Linked DNA regions of Drosophila melanogaster. The protein of the gene in region 2 interacts with the protein of the main gene of each other region in a pairwise test. Each region holds a gene or a part of one and is shown on either strand. Other genes may lie near its edges.

What was found. The genes of interacting proteins can lie anywhere in the genome.
Region 1: the proteins of Cpr76Ba (region 2) and Zasp66 interact in a two-hybrid assay, tested with the Drosophila melanogaster proteins (2 studies listed by BioGRID).

What each region holds. Positions count from the first base shown.
Region 1 is NT_037436.4:8,621,193-8,629,849, reverse strand, and holds the start of Zasp66 (Z band alternatively spliced PDZ-motif protein 66), read right to left. Parts: upstream 5,480-8,657; 5' UTR 5,368-5,479; coding exon 5,167-5,367; intron 3,642-5,166; exon of another isoform or gene 3,457-3,641; coding exon of another isoform or gene 3,340-3,456; intron 2,890-3,339; coding exon 2,741-2,889; intron 2,424-2,740; coding exon 2,120-2,423; intron 1-2,119. Other genes in the region: GAPsec (GTPase activating protein, SECIS-dependent read-through), read left to right, coding at 6,076-6,095, 6,163-6,242, 6,301-6,773, 6,916-7,439, 7,492-7,606; S-Lap2 (Sperm-Leucylaminopeptidase 2), read right to left, coding at 7,937-8,077, 8,134-8,598, 8,654-8,657.
Region 2 is NT_037436.4:19,514,435-19,521,251, forward strand, and holds Cpr76Ba (cuticular protein 76Ba), read right to left. Parts: upstream 3,899-6,817; 5' UTR 3,842-3,898; coding exon 3,227-3,841; 3' UTR 3,118-3,226; downstream 1-3,117. Other genes in the region: Cpr76Bb (cuticular protein 76Bb), read left to right, coding at 5,261-5,857.

The DNA of each region.
Region 1 (8,657 bases), about 11 Mb from region 2:
CCTCCCCTTACCAAACGGATGTTGTTGTTTGTCCTGCCGCCTCAGTCGAGAATTATTCACATTATTCACATATAACAAATCTCGCGTATATGTTTTAATTGCTGCTTTTGTGGAGCAATTTCACATAGCACTTTTTTCGTATTTCGAAAATTAGGCACAAATATTTATCGCACTCGAGGTTATTGTTTCGCCCCACTGCAGCAACATAAATGTGAATATAAAAATATTTCGCAAATCTGCTGTTAAATTATTGATTTGCTCAGTTTGCTTTCGCCAAATTGCCAAATTGCACTGTCACTTAGCATTTCCAAATCGCAGATTTGTCAACCAATTCTGACAGTTCCAAAGATACCGATCCCAGTTCGTAAATCTCAAAACCATATTGGCATTGGCATGCTGAGTTTTCTTGGCTGTCATAAGCAATTGGCATTGGAACAGGGCATTGGGCATATCATTTGATGTTGATTTTGACTGATCCAAAAACACACGAGCAGGTGTAATTGGCCTTGAAAGGCGTTGGAAAAGTCTCAAGTTCGATGGAGAAACCAAGGAACGCATAACTTACACGGAATCATGTGCTAAATATGTTCCCTACTGCGAAGGCTGCAGTTCGTTTGACTATGTGATGCACTTGGAGAAAAATAATGATTTACAGAAAGCAAAAAAAAAAAATATATTTTTTATGAGAATATCTCATAATAATATATATATACTTAACATAATTCTCATAACCTTGTTGCAATATTAATAATTTCTAAAACATATCAGCTACATTCTCAGCACACCAATGGAATTTTTCTTGGTGCACCCGCGCTTGTTTAAAACAAAACGATCAATAAACAATCCGACTGATGGTTTTTTGTGCGTTCCGCGCCTCTAACAAAGAGAAATTAACGAACACAAATAGAACGCATTCAAGGTACATATTAACCATAAATTAGTTAAGGCAAAGTACAATAACCCCTCGCAATACTATAATGCTGAGAATAGACCAACTCCCATCATCGTGGGGAGGTCACCTGTTCTGGAACTTTTCCCCGAGACAATTTTCTGACACCTTCGTATGACAAATCGTCAAACATCAAAACATGTAGGTAGGTAGGCACCTTGATTTTATTTCGGTGCCGCACTGCCAAACATCAAATTGCGACCTTGGCAAGTGTCTTGATTCATTAGCAGCGTCATCCGAGGATAATGGGACATATGGAGTGAGAAGGGAGGTGTTCTGAGTGGCCTTGCCACGGGGCATCACAGGTTTTGGACGGACAGTGGATCAAAATCCGCGCCGTGCACCCCCACTCACCTGGCACAGAAATAGTTCGGAAAATAGACGCTTGTTTATTTGCGTTTTTGGCTCTTGGCATTTTTCGCCGAGTTTTGGGGGCGGGCTAGTTCTCTGTAAGAGATTCTGACTTGTTTTTCTTTGATTCCCAGCCAATTTCCACCTGCGCACTGCGTCACCGAGCCTTTTCCTGTTTAGCACCCCGCATCCTCGCTCCGAAGTCTATATATAGCGTATGTAAGCGATGGAACCTTGACCAACAACATTGTTATGTGCTGACGTCATCGTTCGAGTGTATTCAAATTACAAAAACGAACTGTTTTCTACATTTTCGAAAGCGTTTTACATGAACATTTTAAAAATCTACATACACTGACAATGGAAATGAACAACAAATAGAACCCAGTTGGTTCAAACATTTAGCATTGTGGTAAACAATTTACGTAGGTATTTTCGATTGACATCGCGGAAAATATTTTACCACATTCATTTTACACACATTTTTTAATTTAATTCCCGAAAAGTATGCAACGGGCAACTACAAAATTATGCATATGAAAATATTGGATATTATTACAACCTTGTTGTTATATTTATAGATCCAAAAGATACCAACTCACATAAAAATAACTGTATGAGATGCAGTCCTAGATATTAGATTGTAAAATAATCTATGATGAATATATTCAATTATTAGTTGCAACTAGCTTTATCCAAAATTTTTAAAAATTGCTAAAGGATTTATCAAAATCTCAGTACTCGCAGCATACCATTCGGGATAAATGTTTTTCAACACACAATGGGATCATCCATAAAAAAAACATTTAAATATCTCACCTGATTCACAATGGCCGCCTGCTCCTCATCGACGTCTTGTTGATGGTCCCTGGTTGGCTTGGGTGAGAACACAGTCGATGGCACCTCATAGCCACCGGATGAGTTCAGCTGGGGAAACACGGTCTGCGGCAACGTGTCCACCGGCAACTGGAGGGCCCTCTCAAAGTGGCTGGGTCCGGGCAAAAAGGGCGACGGACCGCGGTGGGGCATCAGATCCGGAGTGACCGGCGGCAAAGTGGAGTTGCTCCGAGATCCAGGACCTGCCTCCTGAGTTGCACCCTGCGTGTAGGCGATTTTGTTGTCCCTGCAATTTAGAATTATTAATATTTGTCATATCACAGACCATACAAAAGAAAAATCAGTTCCTAACGTTTCTTAGTGCAAATTGATCCAAGACGAAGGTTTCCTTTTGGCAATGGAGTAAAACTTAAGTTAAGTTTTTTATACTATGACTATAATCAACTAACTTTTATGATGATAAAAGCCCTGTTTAAAAAACAGAAAACTAAAATGAAGGTGTTCTCTTTACTCAATACACTTGACACTCGTAGAAGAAATTGATGTTAAACATACGGAACTGATTGGTATCTTTGATGCAGATACACGGATTTCCTGGCTCACCTGTGCACCACCAGGCGGATCTCGTTGCCAGCGCCGCGGAACAGCTGCTGTGCATCCGCATGACTCAGGTCGCGTGCGTCGTACTCGCCGATCTTCGAGATGATGTCGCCTCTTAGAAGTTCGCCATGCGCTGGGCTGCCCACTTGCACCTGCAACGGGTGGGGTGGAAAAGGAGGTGGGAAGGTCATTAGACACACATAGTATAGGGTGCAACGGGCTGGTTGCAACCTTGACACAGATTTATGGGTGCCTAAATAGATGCAGACAGAATTATGATCGCCAAAATGTGTGTGTTTACATCGCAGCTCAGTGAAAAGGGGGTAGGTAGGAAAAGTGGAAATTTTCTTCGACTATTCGGTTGCGCCTCAATTAGTTTTACTGGCGTCGCATTTTGGCAACGCTGCAGCGTTTATTGTTGCTGTGCCCGTTTCGCTATTTTGATTTGTTGTTGTTTATTTGGGCGCTGAGAACAAAGCGGCATGCGGGGCACAAAGGCCAATCGCTTTTCCTCAGGCATTTCTTCTCTGGCTCAATTTTGATGAATGGACCACAAGCGACCACAAGGCGACAGTCTCTCTGGTTATATAACGCCCATTTACCCTGGTGATAATTAGCGGCGTGTCCAGATCGTTGCCGCCCACCAAACGAATGCCCCAGGGCGTGGCCTGACCATCGCGCAGTAGCACCACCGCAAACTCATGCAGCTTGGGGCTCATCCTGATGTTGAAGATAGACTGGAAGATCAGACGCTCATCCGATCCAGCGATGGTTTATCCCGAAAATATATATTTATTTTTTATTGTTTATTTTTTTTTCTGGCCTTTTCTGGCCGAGCCGCAGGCGGCGCGCGATTGCAATCCGTTAAGCGTTTTGTTCGATCGCAAAGCTGCTCAAGTACTAATTTTAAAATACAATTCGTATTCCTTTTTGCAGCAACAGCAGCGGCAGCAGAGTACACTGCGCCACAAGTTTGTTTCTTACATACACATATGTACATACATGTACAACTTATATCCGCCGGCAACGGCGACTACATGCTGAGAAACATGAATTCGATTGGCGAATCCTAATCGTTAAATGGGGTTTCCGCTAAGAGCACTCTGAATTTCTCAGAGCGGATGTCGTGGATTCAAAAAGCATCAGGAGCATTTACCTCGGCAAAGCTCATAATTACCACAAGATAATTAGGCGTATACTTGATAAGCGGCTGCATATCAAATTACGCATACGCAGTGTTAATAAACATGATTGCTTGCATGTGTGCCATGTATTTAAAGCTTTACTATTTTCATTATTATATATACCCAAATCGCGAAGAGCATCCGCAAGCCACCACAAACTCAAACCTTTTCCCACATTGTTCCCATTGTTTAATTCGACGTGTGCCCTGCATTTGTGGCATTCTGCATTTCGTTGACCACATTTTAGGGCAGCACTTGATCCAGTTGCACGCTGACCCTGAAGAGATGAATGCCACATATCATCATCTAGGCGAATGCTTTGATGAGCTAGCTCGCCTGATGCAAAAAAGCATAAAAATCAAGTATCTAGGCATCTGTTTTTCCTCGACATTTTCGACTATTTTATTAGTGTTTTATTCCTCTCCGACTTGTTTGCCGAACGATGAGGCAACCAAGAGAGAGTGTAATTAGTTTTAGTTACTGAGGCGGTACTAGCACAACTGCAACAACCAATTCGACACTCTTGCCCAATTTAAATAAGCAAATCATATTAGATTTTTAATGCATTAGTCAATGGAAAAGTCTACGGCCAACGTGACGTATACGCAATATGAACGGGTCAACGGTTGAAGGACGTTGGTTTGTATTAAACATTCTGTCTGCCTCTCGATTTTGGCAACAATTTTACTGTTTACAGCGGAAAAATCTTTTCCTGCCTTTTGGCTTTTCGCTGAATATATACACAATATATGGCTTGCCATTTCATTTTTAATTTTATACATTCTGATTTCGGCACTTTTTGGCTGGCTCTTGAAATGTTTTTACTATTTGCGGCTTGAATTGTTTTCATTTCATTTTCAATTGGAATTCGTGTAATGTTTTTACGGTGACTTTTGCTGTAGATCAGCCTTGAGCGGATTGTAAATCATTCGAAATTCTTCACCCAACGTCTTGCGAATGGTATAAAAGTCATGCCAATGGAAATATAGATCCATCCATCTTTTTTGGGCCATTTTACTTGACCGAAAAGTGCAGCAGTGGCCAATTAATTAGATTTGGCTTGACAAATTTACGAGCCGCAAGGGGCGAAATGTTATTGAACTGATTTCTGAGTCGGCCTGTTGTGAATTGGGGCCACAAATACATTGGAATACGAATAAGAAAAGAACACACGCGCGATGATTGACAAGCCGGGCGATTTGAAAGGGGTTGGGGCTTCCACTTTTCTCGGCCACTTGGACTTACCCCCACGTTTTGCTCATCGGCAAAATGGACGCGCTTCTTCAGTCCGCTGCTGCTGCGCCGCCTGCAGGGCGATGGCAGCGGTACGAGCGGCGGTTTTGGGGTCGGCTGTGGACGATAGGACGTGGGCAATTCGTAACCGGGCACCTTCCAGAAAGCCGGTCGACTGAATGACGCGGACGCCGATGATCTGCTGGTCGTCATTGCTGGCCAGCGACTAGAGTAAACAAAAGAAATGCTCCGCACATTCAGAAATATGCGCTAAATTCTACGATTCGAACGCGTCTGCTCGCGACTGCGTGTGTGTGTGCACTAGTAGGCAATTGAAAAATCAAATAAAAGCGGAGAAAAAATCAGAGAAAATGAGCGAAAACAGAATATTATTATTCATTCAAAATCCAGTGAAATAGTGAGACGCGGAGAATTATGAATGGATTAATTGATGTTTCAGTTAGTAAATTTGATTGAGCAAAGAAAATACATACAAGCAATATCTAATAATCATGATTTAATCATTTTCATTTACAATTTAAACAATAGCGCCTTCAGCTTTACAAGATCTGGCAACCAGCTTAAAAACAGTTTTTCAATTAATTAATTAAAAAGAACAATACAATTAAGACAGAAGGTAATTACATACATTTTTACGAGGACAGTAAACCATTTAAAATTTCGATTTATTTATAAAATTTAATCGTTAAAAACTTTGAATTTTACCGCCCAATGCACTCAAAAATCGATAGTCGCAGAGAATAATCGATTAGAGCTCGAACCATCTGGCAACGCCCATTGTTTTGTTGTGTTTTATACCTGCAGATTTCACCCAGCATAAAACTGAGATAAAGCTTTAATTAATTACACATAGGGGTACTGCAAGATCTCAGCATAGCCCCGCCCACATAAAGCCGCAGCATGTCTATTTTCAAGGCGCGGTAAGCTGTTATTCTAAGCTAATCCAAACTTCTCCGTAAACAAAGACTTTCTCTAACCAAAATGCAGAGTCAAGGAATTTGAGGATGTTTTGGCGGGGCCACAGGATTTAATTGACCTGAAACAACTCAGGAAACTGGCATTTAATGGTAGAAAGCTAAGAGTGCATTTGAAATGTTCAAAATTTGAAGTCTGAGCACTCCACAGGTGTGCCCGATGTGCAGAGTTTTCGAGCACTCAGTTGGAAGCTACTCCTTGGCTATTTGGGGCCTAGGCGCAGTAGTTGGACCACAACCTTGGCCCAAAAGCGAGCCCTGTATAAACAGTTCATCGAGGAGCTAGTCCTGCCCCCCGGACACTCGAGCAATAGAGCTAGCGTAGACGGAGGAGATGGGGACAAAGTCGATTCGGGGGGCGTTGGCCTGCAAGATCATCCGCTGAGCGAGGGACCCGAAAGCGCGTGGAACACGTTCTTCAATGATAACGAGTTTCTACTGCAAATCGACAAGGATGTCCGCCGCTTGTGCCCGGACATATCCTTTTTCCAGCAGCCCACCGATTATCCCTGCGAGATTGTGGTCCACAGCAAAGGAGAGCATGGACGAAGGCTCCACGAACGGGTGGTTCCCGCCGTTCTAAGTTCGGCGAATGTGGAACGCAAGGGCCTCGGCATGACAAAGGTGAGTTCAAGATCGGAATTGTGCTAGACAATAAGCTCAGAATGTGTTGTTTCATTCATGCATACCGTGTGGATTTTAGCAGCAAGTAAGTAAGCCCATCTGGAACTGCCCCAAACCTAATGAATATGTGTGCTCTATATAGATAAATTTGATTACAAAACGCTCCGTTGAAAACTATGCCGCCATGGAGGAGGGCCAAGAGGCTCACTGGGAAGTTGTGCAACGCATTTTGTTCATCTATGCCAAACTAAATCCCGGCCAGGGATATGTCCAGGGCATGAACGAAATCGTGGGACCCATTTACTATGTTATGGCCTCCGATCCTGACCTCACATATCGCGCCCACGCTGAGGCTGATTGTTTCTTTTGTTTTACCGCCCTGATGAGCGAGATAAGAGACTTTTTTATTAAAACACTAGACGACGCAGAAGGCGGCATCAAGTTCATGATGGCCAGGCTATCGAATATGCTGAAATCAAAGGACCTAAGCATTTACGAGCTACTCAGGAGCCAAGAGCTGCATCCGCAGTATTACAGCTTCAGGTGGCTCACACTGCTCCTGTCGCAGGAGTTTCCACTGCCAGATGTACTGCGCATTTGGGATTCCGTGTTTGCGGACGAACAGCGATTTGATTTTCTGATAAAAATATGCTGTTCAATGATATTGTAAGTAAACTTAGCTTTAGTATAAAGCAAGAACTAATATGAAATTTTGCAGAATCCAAAGGGAAGCAATTTTGGAAAACGACTTTGCCTCGAATGTGAAACTCTTGCAAAACTATCCGCCAATTGACATTAATGTTGTGATTGCTCATGCCGGATCATTGGCGTAGCATTCCTCCAGAAATATATCCTTGTGCCCAAATGCTTGCAAAGCCCCCTAGTTAGTTTAACAACTGAAAGAACCAAGCAATCAACTATACTTTAGTTAGCCCCAATCTTGGAAACGCACCCTTACAGGAAGTCCAATAAGTACACGCATTTTCACTTTTTTACATGACTTATAATTTGTATGTCATTAATAAACGAATTAATTTTAACATTTCGTGGTCCCAATTAGATAAACGTCAGAACGTTAAAGAAGTCATAGGTTGGTCAGTCGTTAAAAGAATACCGATGAACGTGTGGCATCGTCTCATTAAACTTAAACACCGTTCGAAGGTTCACTTGTTAAGCTTTGGAGCTGTGTCCTTGCATATGGACTGTGCAATAAACTCGATGAGTGTCCTTGTTGGACGTCCGGCCATGCCCTCTCGCAGATACTCGAACTCATCACCACGTGTGATCATCACGTTGGTGGCATCCTGGATTAAATCACAAATCAAATCAAAGTCCTACAACTAATAAAAACAAAACTTACAATATGCATCCATTGGCCGCAAGGCACAAATTCACGAAGGAAAGCGGCAGCTTTGCAAGGACGTCCACCACGACCGATACCGTAGTTCTGGACATCACTGCGTCCACCGGCACGCACCGCCTTGCTGTAGTAGTTCCACAGGGGGAAACGCCACACGCGGTCTCCAGTGTGCATGCTGGCGTGCTTGATCTGCTGCCAAAGGATCTCAGAGTTGGTAAACACCCCACAGGCAGCCTCATCCAACGCTTGGCGCATATATCCCGAGCAGGTGCCAATGTCAATGATGCACTTCGGACAGAAGTTCTGCCCGTACAGAAGGGCATCCGCCAGCACTAGAACATCTTCGTGGTCGGTGCACTGCACCTCAATGGTCTTGCCATTCATGGATTTCACCATGTCTCCAGGACGGAAGGAATTGCATCCAATAACGTTCTCGCACAGGGGTATTAGTCCACGAATATTGACCTAACGGTAATATATGGTTATCCAAGGAATAACATCGGGTCATCCAGTCACTTACCGGT
Region 2 (6,817 bases):
TTCCACCGGGCCACGCCTGACCACGCCTACCTCGCGGCAAGGCGGCAGTGATGCCGCCTCCTCGAGCGGAGAAAATAATACATAAACACAGATATGACACGATAAGTTATCAGATATTGATAAGCAATATAGTAAAAAAAATATTATATTAATTTTAGCTTCATTAAAACTAAAAGCTCAAGCTAAAGTTATTTTAAAAATCTTAAGAAACACAAATATAAATATAATTTTAGACAGAATAATAGTTATCCACGACTCAGAATTTCCAAATTATTTCCAGATCACCAAAAAAGAAAAACTTATTCTTTTCTAATTAGAAATGATGTACTCATTTTAGAAGAACTCCTCTAAAATTCTACCATAAGGACCCCCAGAGCCAGCAATAAAATATGAAACCTATGACAGCACTATGGAACTTCAGCAGCCGAGGAAGGTGGAGGCTGGGATCGCCGGGTCACATTATTATACTTTGAGCGGCGCCGAAATCAGGCAAAACTTTCCCGCACACCCTGGACTCCTAAGACCCGCCTGTCATAACAACAGGGCAGGATGGTCGGCGGAAAACTGAAAACTGAAAGCTGGAGGCGACACAAAGGGGGAAACGGTTTTTCCAGGCGCTGCTCTTTTCCACTCCTCGCCGACACACCAACCCAAAACACTCCCTTCGGGATTCATTTTCGTTTCATTCATTTATTCGTCGCTAGCTGCTTTTCATTCATTTTGAACTTTCGACGATTTAATTCGGCTTTCGAGCTGCTTTTCCTTCTTTTTCGTCTCTGTTTCACTTTTTTCCCATTCTGAGTCTGGCGAACGCCTTTGGCCAAGCGACAACAAAAAGTTGCAAAAGGGGAAACAGTACTATATTACGAAAAGAATGCAATTGGGATGCACTGCGAGAAACTGGAGCTAGCTGCTAGATCTGATACCTGACATCGCAGACAGCAAAACAAATCAATGAATGAACTGTCGATTTTAATATGTTTTTACTTTTTCGTAATTGCTGACGAGTAAGGAAGGAACAAGAAACAAAGGAGTACGTTAAATTATACTCCCCTAATTACTCAATTACTCAATTTGAATAATTAAATCATACGATGCAAAAATTTAATTAATTTAAAAATAGTTTTGATATTGTACTATCTATTCCTCAAAGGCAATACAAGGAAAATCTGAAAATAAATGTAAATATAACCTTTCAATGAAGACAGTTCGTAATGAAATGCAGGGATAATAATAAAACTGATATCAATTTTTTGGTTGATTAGTCTTCATACTATTTCTCCTTTACTTTTATGACAAAAATGAAGATGAGAACAAGGGCAGCTTCGTAGTCGATATACCCGATAGAAACAATAAATTTCGGTCCCTGAACCCTTGGCATAAATTTCACGTCTGTATTTCGGTCTTTGTGTGAGCTTTCCTTTCTGTTTATCGGTTTTTTTTTCGTGTTGACCCCACCTGGCTGCCGACCACGATTGCAATCTCCAGTGCTCATTTGCATTTTTAATGAAACCATATAAAGGCGAAAAATTGATGGGGAGTAAAGGGGCCCAAGCTGGACGTCGGTGTGTGGAGCAGCTGCAAATTATGAGCCAAAGGTCCGGAGAAGGACCTTTGCCCTTTGCCGCCGCCTTATCCTCCGTACACATGCACCACTAGCTCGGCAAATAAATCCGACCATATCCCTGGCATATCGGGATCCAAACTGTCAACAGTTTGTCGCCTATCGCGGCGTCGAAATTTTCTCTCTGTAACCAATAAATGTTTCAACATCATTTACATTTGTGGTGGCAGTCTTATCCTCGGAGCATTGGAAGTGGAATTTTCCCGGGGCGGCTACTTCAATCATTTCGGACCTCGGGATGCCTGACCTCAGGCATTCAGCTCGGTTTTCCACCGACTCCGGCGATTGCGTTCTGGGCAAACAGCCCTCCCAGATTTATGGGACCGCAAAACTTTGCTTCACGGCATAAATTAATGTTTAATTGATGAATTTATATGACGAGGGCACGATGCTCGGGCTTACATTGGACAGCATTCCATCATTGTGCGGGCCAGATGTCAAAGTTTATTCGCGGTCGCTTTAAAGACAATTATTTTCAAGATGTCAAAAACACAAGCTCTTAGTATCAATAATACACAATTCAAAGAAATACAAAGTTTTCCGACAATTATTGTGGAAGTAAATTAAAGTTAAAAATATTTATCGTTTTTAATTTTAACAGAATGAACTGCCTTGCATGTAACAAACCGCTTTGCCGGATGTAAGCAGTGCAACCCGAAGTTCTGTAAATTTCCGACAGGGGTCTCAGTTTTCGACATTTTTGACACTGTGTACGAAGCAATGTTTGTAAAGTAGATGTTGTATGTATTTTACACTGTGCTACAAAGTTCTACACTTTTTGTTATACAATAGATACAATTATTAGGGAAGTGTGGAAATTTTTTGAAAATAACATGTGTTTTGCTGTACTCATTATTTTAATTTAGTTCAACGTACACAAATGGTAAATTTAAGCTGACCAGGCTAGGCACTTTTTAAGATCTTATGTGGTCACCTATAGCTTTCTACTACTTATCAACTCAATTGGAAAATAGGCAATAAATAGGATTTCTCAGGCGTTGTTTCTCTGTCTCAGCAGATTAATAATATCAAAAATGGGAGGTCCGAAAAAACTTTCAATGGCATTCGTTTCGAAGTCAATGACTCTGGGCATCGAGATCGAGTCGAATAAGCAGGGGAACTTAAGTAACGACAGCGACGGCGATGTAGATGAATTAAAAAATTGTGAAAATCAGGAATATCTTTACCATCTTTACCATATCTTTACCGGACTCTGATGATAACTTTTGGAAGGACTTTTCTGAACAAGCCGAAGCCTTCAAAGTCCTTAGAAAAGATGTGCGTAAGATCTTCCGAACCTCCTTATGTGAGCTAGAATACAAAAAGGCTGCAAGACACTAAGGCCTCAACATCCTCCGTATCGAATGTATCTTAGAATTATTGGATCGGTAAGTTGTTTCTCTCATTTAATAAACGGTGTTCGTTGTGGTCTTAAATCTCAGAACTATTGTAAAAACTTTAAATAGTAAAGTAGTTTGATTTGTAGCTTTTTTCTGCACTTTGATATATTTACCTACTATTTAAGTTAACAATTTTGTAGTTCTATTTACAATAATTAAGTCGGTCCGAATCGCTTGCAGTCAGTCAGTTAGGTCAGCTCCTCTACCACCACTTGTTGCTCTTGTCCTCCCATTTGCTGCTGGTGTCCTGTTTGACATCCACGTAGCTGGTGGCATGACCATGCCCATGTCCGTATTGCTGGCCATATGAGTGGCTGTGCTCCAAGTGACTGGCGTGTCCCACATGCTTCACGGTTGCCTGGAATCCGTTGTGGGAGTCGGCGGTGTACTCAACGATCCTGGTGCGTCCGTCGGCCTCCTTCATGGTGTAGCCTCCCTTGACCTTGTCGCCATCGCGGGTCTCCCACTGCTGCTTGATGTCGCCGGTCTTGGTGTCCTTCACCCCGTAATTGAATTCGTATTTGGGATGGTGTTTGGGTTCCTCGTGGTGGCTCCACTGGTGGTGGCTATCGTGCGCAGCGACTGGAGCCCACTGCTGGTGGTGATGATCCTGAACTGTGCCCCATGAATGGGCCTTTGGGACATCCACCCATTGGTGGTGAGCCTGGTGGTGATCCTGCCACTGCTTGGGCGCCTCGTGATGCGTCTGGATGCTGTACCCCACGCCGTGTTCGTGACTATATCCACCATGAGGGATGTAGCTAGCAGCAGCCACTCCCAGAAGTGCGCAGCAGAGGATGCTCAATTGGTGGGCCATTTTCGTTGGTTTCTGATTGACTTGCCTGGCCTAAATCACGATTGGAACTGTTATAATCACCAGACAATGCCCAATGCTTTTATACTTCTGGCCATTCTATGGATCGATTAATTACATTTTAGACTGCGGGCTAAATAGGCTAGAAAAAAGTAAGAGCCCCAAAAATGGGTATAAAAAATGCTTCGAATTTTTGTGCAAATTTTCATTTTTCCCCATTCGTATTCATAGTCTTGGGCGGTCGGTCGATTGGCAAATTAAAACTTGCCAGAAACAACAACATCATCATTAAGCGGGGCGTGAACATCGCTCAAATGCTTGAAAAACGCAAAGCTTTTCGATTTTGTTGCTTAGAAATCAATCAACAAGTGTGGCCCGCTTTCAAATTGCTCAGCAATAGCCGCCTCGCCTCGCCTCGCTGCGTTTCCACGGTTGGACCCTCTTTTTCGCCTACTTCACTCCAAATGACCTTGAGACGGACGGTGCGGTAAGGGGCTGAGAAGGGGAGGGCAGCGTTGGGCGGACCGTCCAATCGGTTGGTGTTTCTGACCAGGGGGTCTGCTGTGGGGCACCCAGAGCTTCCGAATTGGTGTTAACTTACCGATAGTGTTTTTTAATGCATATAATTTACAAGGCTAATAGACTTTAAGCTCGGAAATTTGAAATGCGTGAAAATATAAGCATATTGGTATTTAGCCTACGTTATCTGATGTTAATTATTTTTAAGACGTTTATTTGCATAAATTGTTTCGCTATCTATAGGAATAACATGCATATTAAATAAAAAGAAATCCTGTAGTTCAAGTTTTAAAACTACTAATAACTATATAATAAATATAATGTTGAAGCCAACAGATTTCTAGGAAAAACACATAATTATTTATAGCAAAATAGGTTCGCTTTGGATATTTACATAAGGATTTCAAAGTACAACACTACAAAGTTTATTTATTGGTTAGTTTAACAGCATTTCCTTATTTCTTCAAGCAAAAGCTGCCGCCTTCATCAGTTCACATTCTCAGTCATAATTAATTTTTGTAAATTAAGCAATAAGTTCTTGCCTTAGTTTTTCCCTTCTCTTTGACTGAATACCAAACACATCGAACGATCTAACAAAAACTTTTTGGATCTGATATTATTAATTATTACTAGCAGAATTTAATTGTAACGGATTGGACTTTAAATAAAATGTGCCGATTTTCTATAGAGCTCAATGGCCGAAACAATAATAATAAGTACGAGTTAGTGAGGTAATTATCAAATCAGCTAGCTCGATTGGTGAATGGTGTGGCCAAGAGAATGACCACCCGATGGTTGATTGCCCCAGAGTCTTCGATAGCTATATATAGTCTAGGTGAGCTCCCCAAGAACCAGCAGACATCATCAAAGTTCCGATTGGAAAACAGCGAATAAGTGACCGATATGAAATCCTTTAGCGGAGGTCTGTTCTTTGCCCTTCTGGTGGGAGCCAGTTGGGCAGCTCCCCATGGTGGACACGCCACCAGCTACAGTTCGGTGACCAAGCACGAAGGACCCGTCCACAAGAGCCTGGGCTACGGATACGATCACGATGTGGTCAGCGCTTACGGTGGCATCTACGGACACGGCTATCCGAGTGTCGGCCATTCGGGCTACGGATACGGATACGACAAGCACGAGCCCCATCACTATCCCAAGTACCAATTCGACTACGGCGTCAAGGATGCCCACACCGGAGACCAGAAGAGCCAGTGGGAGACGCGGGATGGCGACAAGGTCAAGGGCAGCTACTCCCTCAAGGAATCGGATGGCACCACCCGAGTGGTGGAGTACACCGCCGATGACCACAATGGCTTCAACGCAGTGGTAAAGAAGCTCGGCCACGCCCACCACCCCCAGGTCTACCACAAGGGCTACGGACACGGCGATATCTACGACGCCGACTACGGCTACGGTCACGATGTGGCGCAATATGGCGGATACGGATACGGACACGGAGGCCACGCCAGTAGCTACGTAAGCGTGAAGCAGCTGCACTAAGCAACCAAAATGCGGACTCACCCGGCGAAAACGATCTGGAATCATCATTAGTTAACAATGCAACGAACTTACCTAACTAAAGCCAACTTTTTACAAGTGTAGTATTGACGATATTTATATTTGTATTGAAATAAATAAGCGTAGCTGTTTATAATCAAGAAGGGACGACATTTACTATTTATACAATTATAAATTATTATAAATTATTTATACCTTTATCTACTAGATAGAAAAGGTTAGTAAATACCTTATGAGACAGAAATATCTTATTAAGGTATGAAAAATATATGGAAATGCATTAAAAAGTGGTGTCCGCCTTGCGAATGAGTCTCTGGGAAGTTTTCCCAAGTCACAAGCACTTGATTTTGATACGGATTAGCAGGATTAACTGGCCAAGTGGAGACACGACAAACTCGCAGAGCAAATCGCCATTAATTTATGTAAAGTCGAAACGTAATGCTGGCAGGTATAAATTTTATAATGCCATTAGACAGCTGCAGCGAAGCGTCGACGACGACTTTTACTTGCCGCTCGGCGGCGCCTGAAACCAAAAGTTGGGGCGCCCAAATCGGGGGAGCATGGGATATATACAACATATGTATATATAAGTTCGTGCAGCATATATGGATATAGATAGCTTGGCGGTATCGCGGCTCAAACGGGTTTCGGAACGAGGAGCTCCCGGACGGCAAATAATTGTCAATTAGACCGAGCTTAGGAAGCGACAAACAAAGCAGCTGCAATCTGCTCATCGCAGTTGGTTGCGTCTGGCGACTTGGAAGTTGGATGTTAGACGTTGGATATTGGGCATTGGACGTTGGAAGTGGAACCGGTGAAGCCGGAAAATCTTGTCGCCGGGAAAACGAAGCGAATCGAAACCGAAGCGTTGTGCCTTGCTGTTGTGCCGGTCCTCGTCTTCATCTATAAATACTTTGGCAATGCCGCGCCAACGCTTTAATT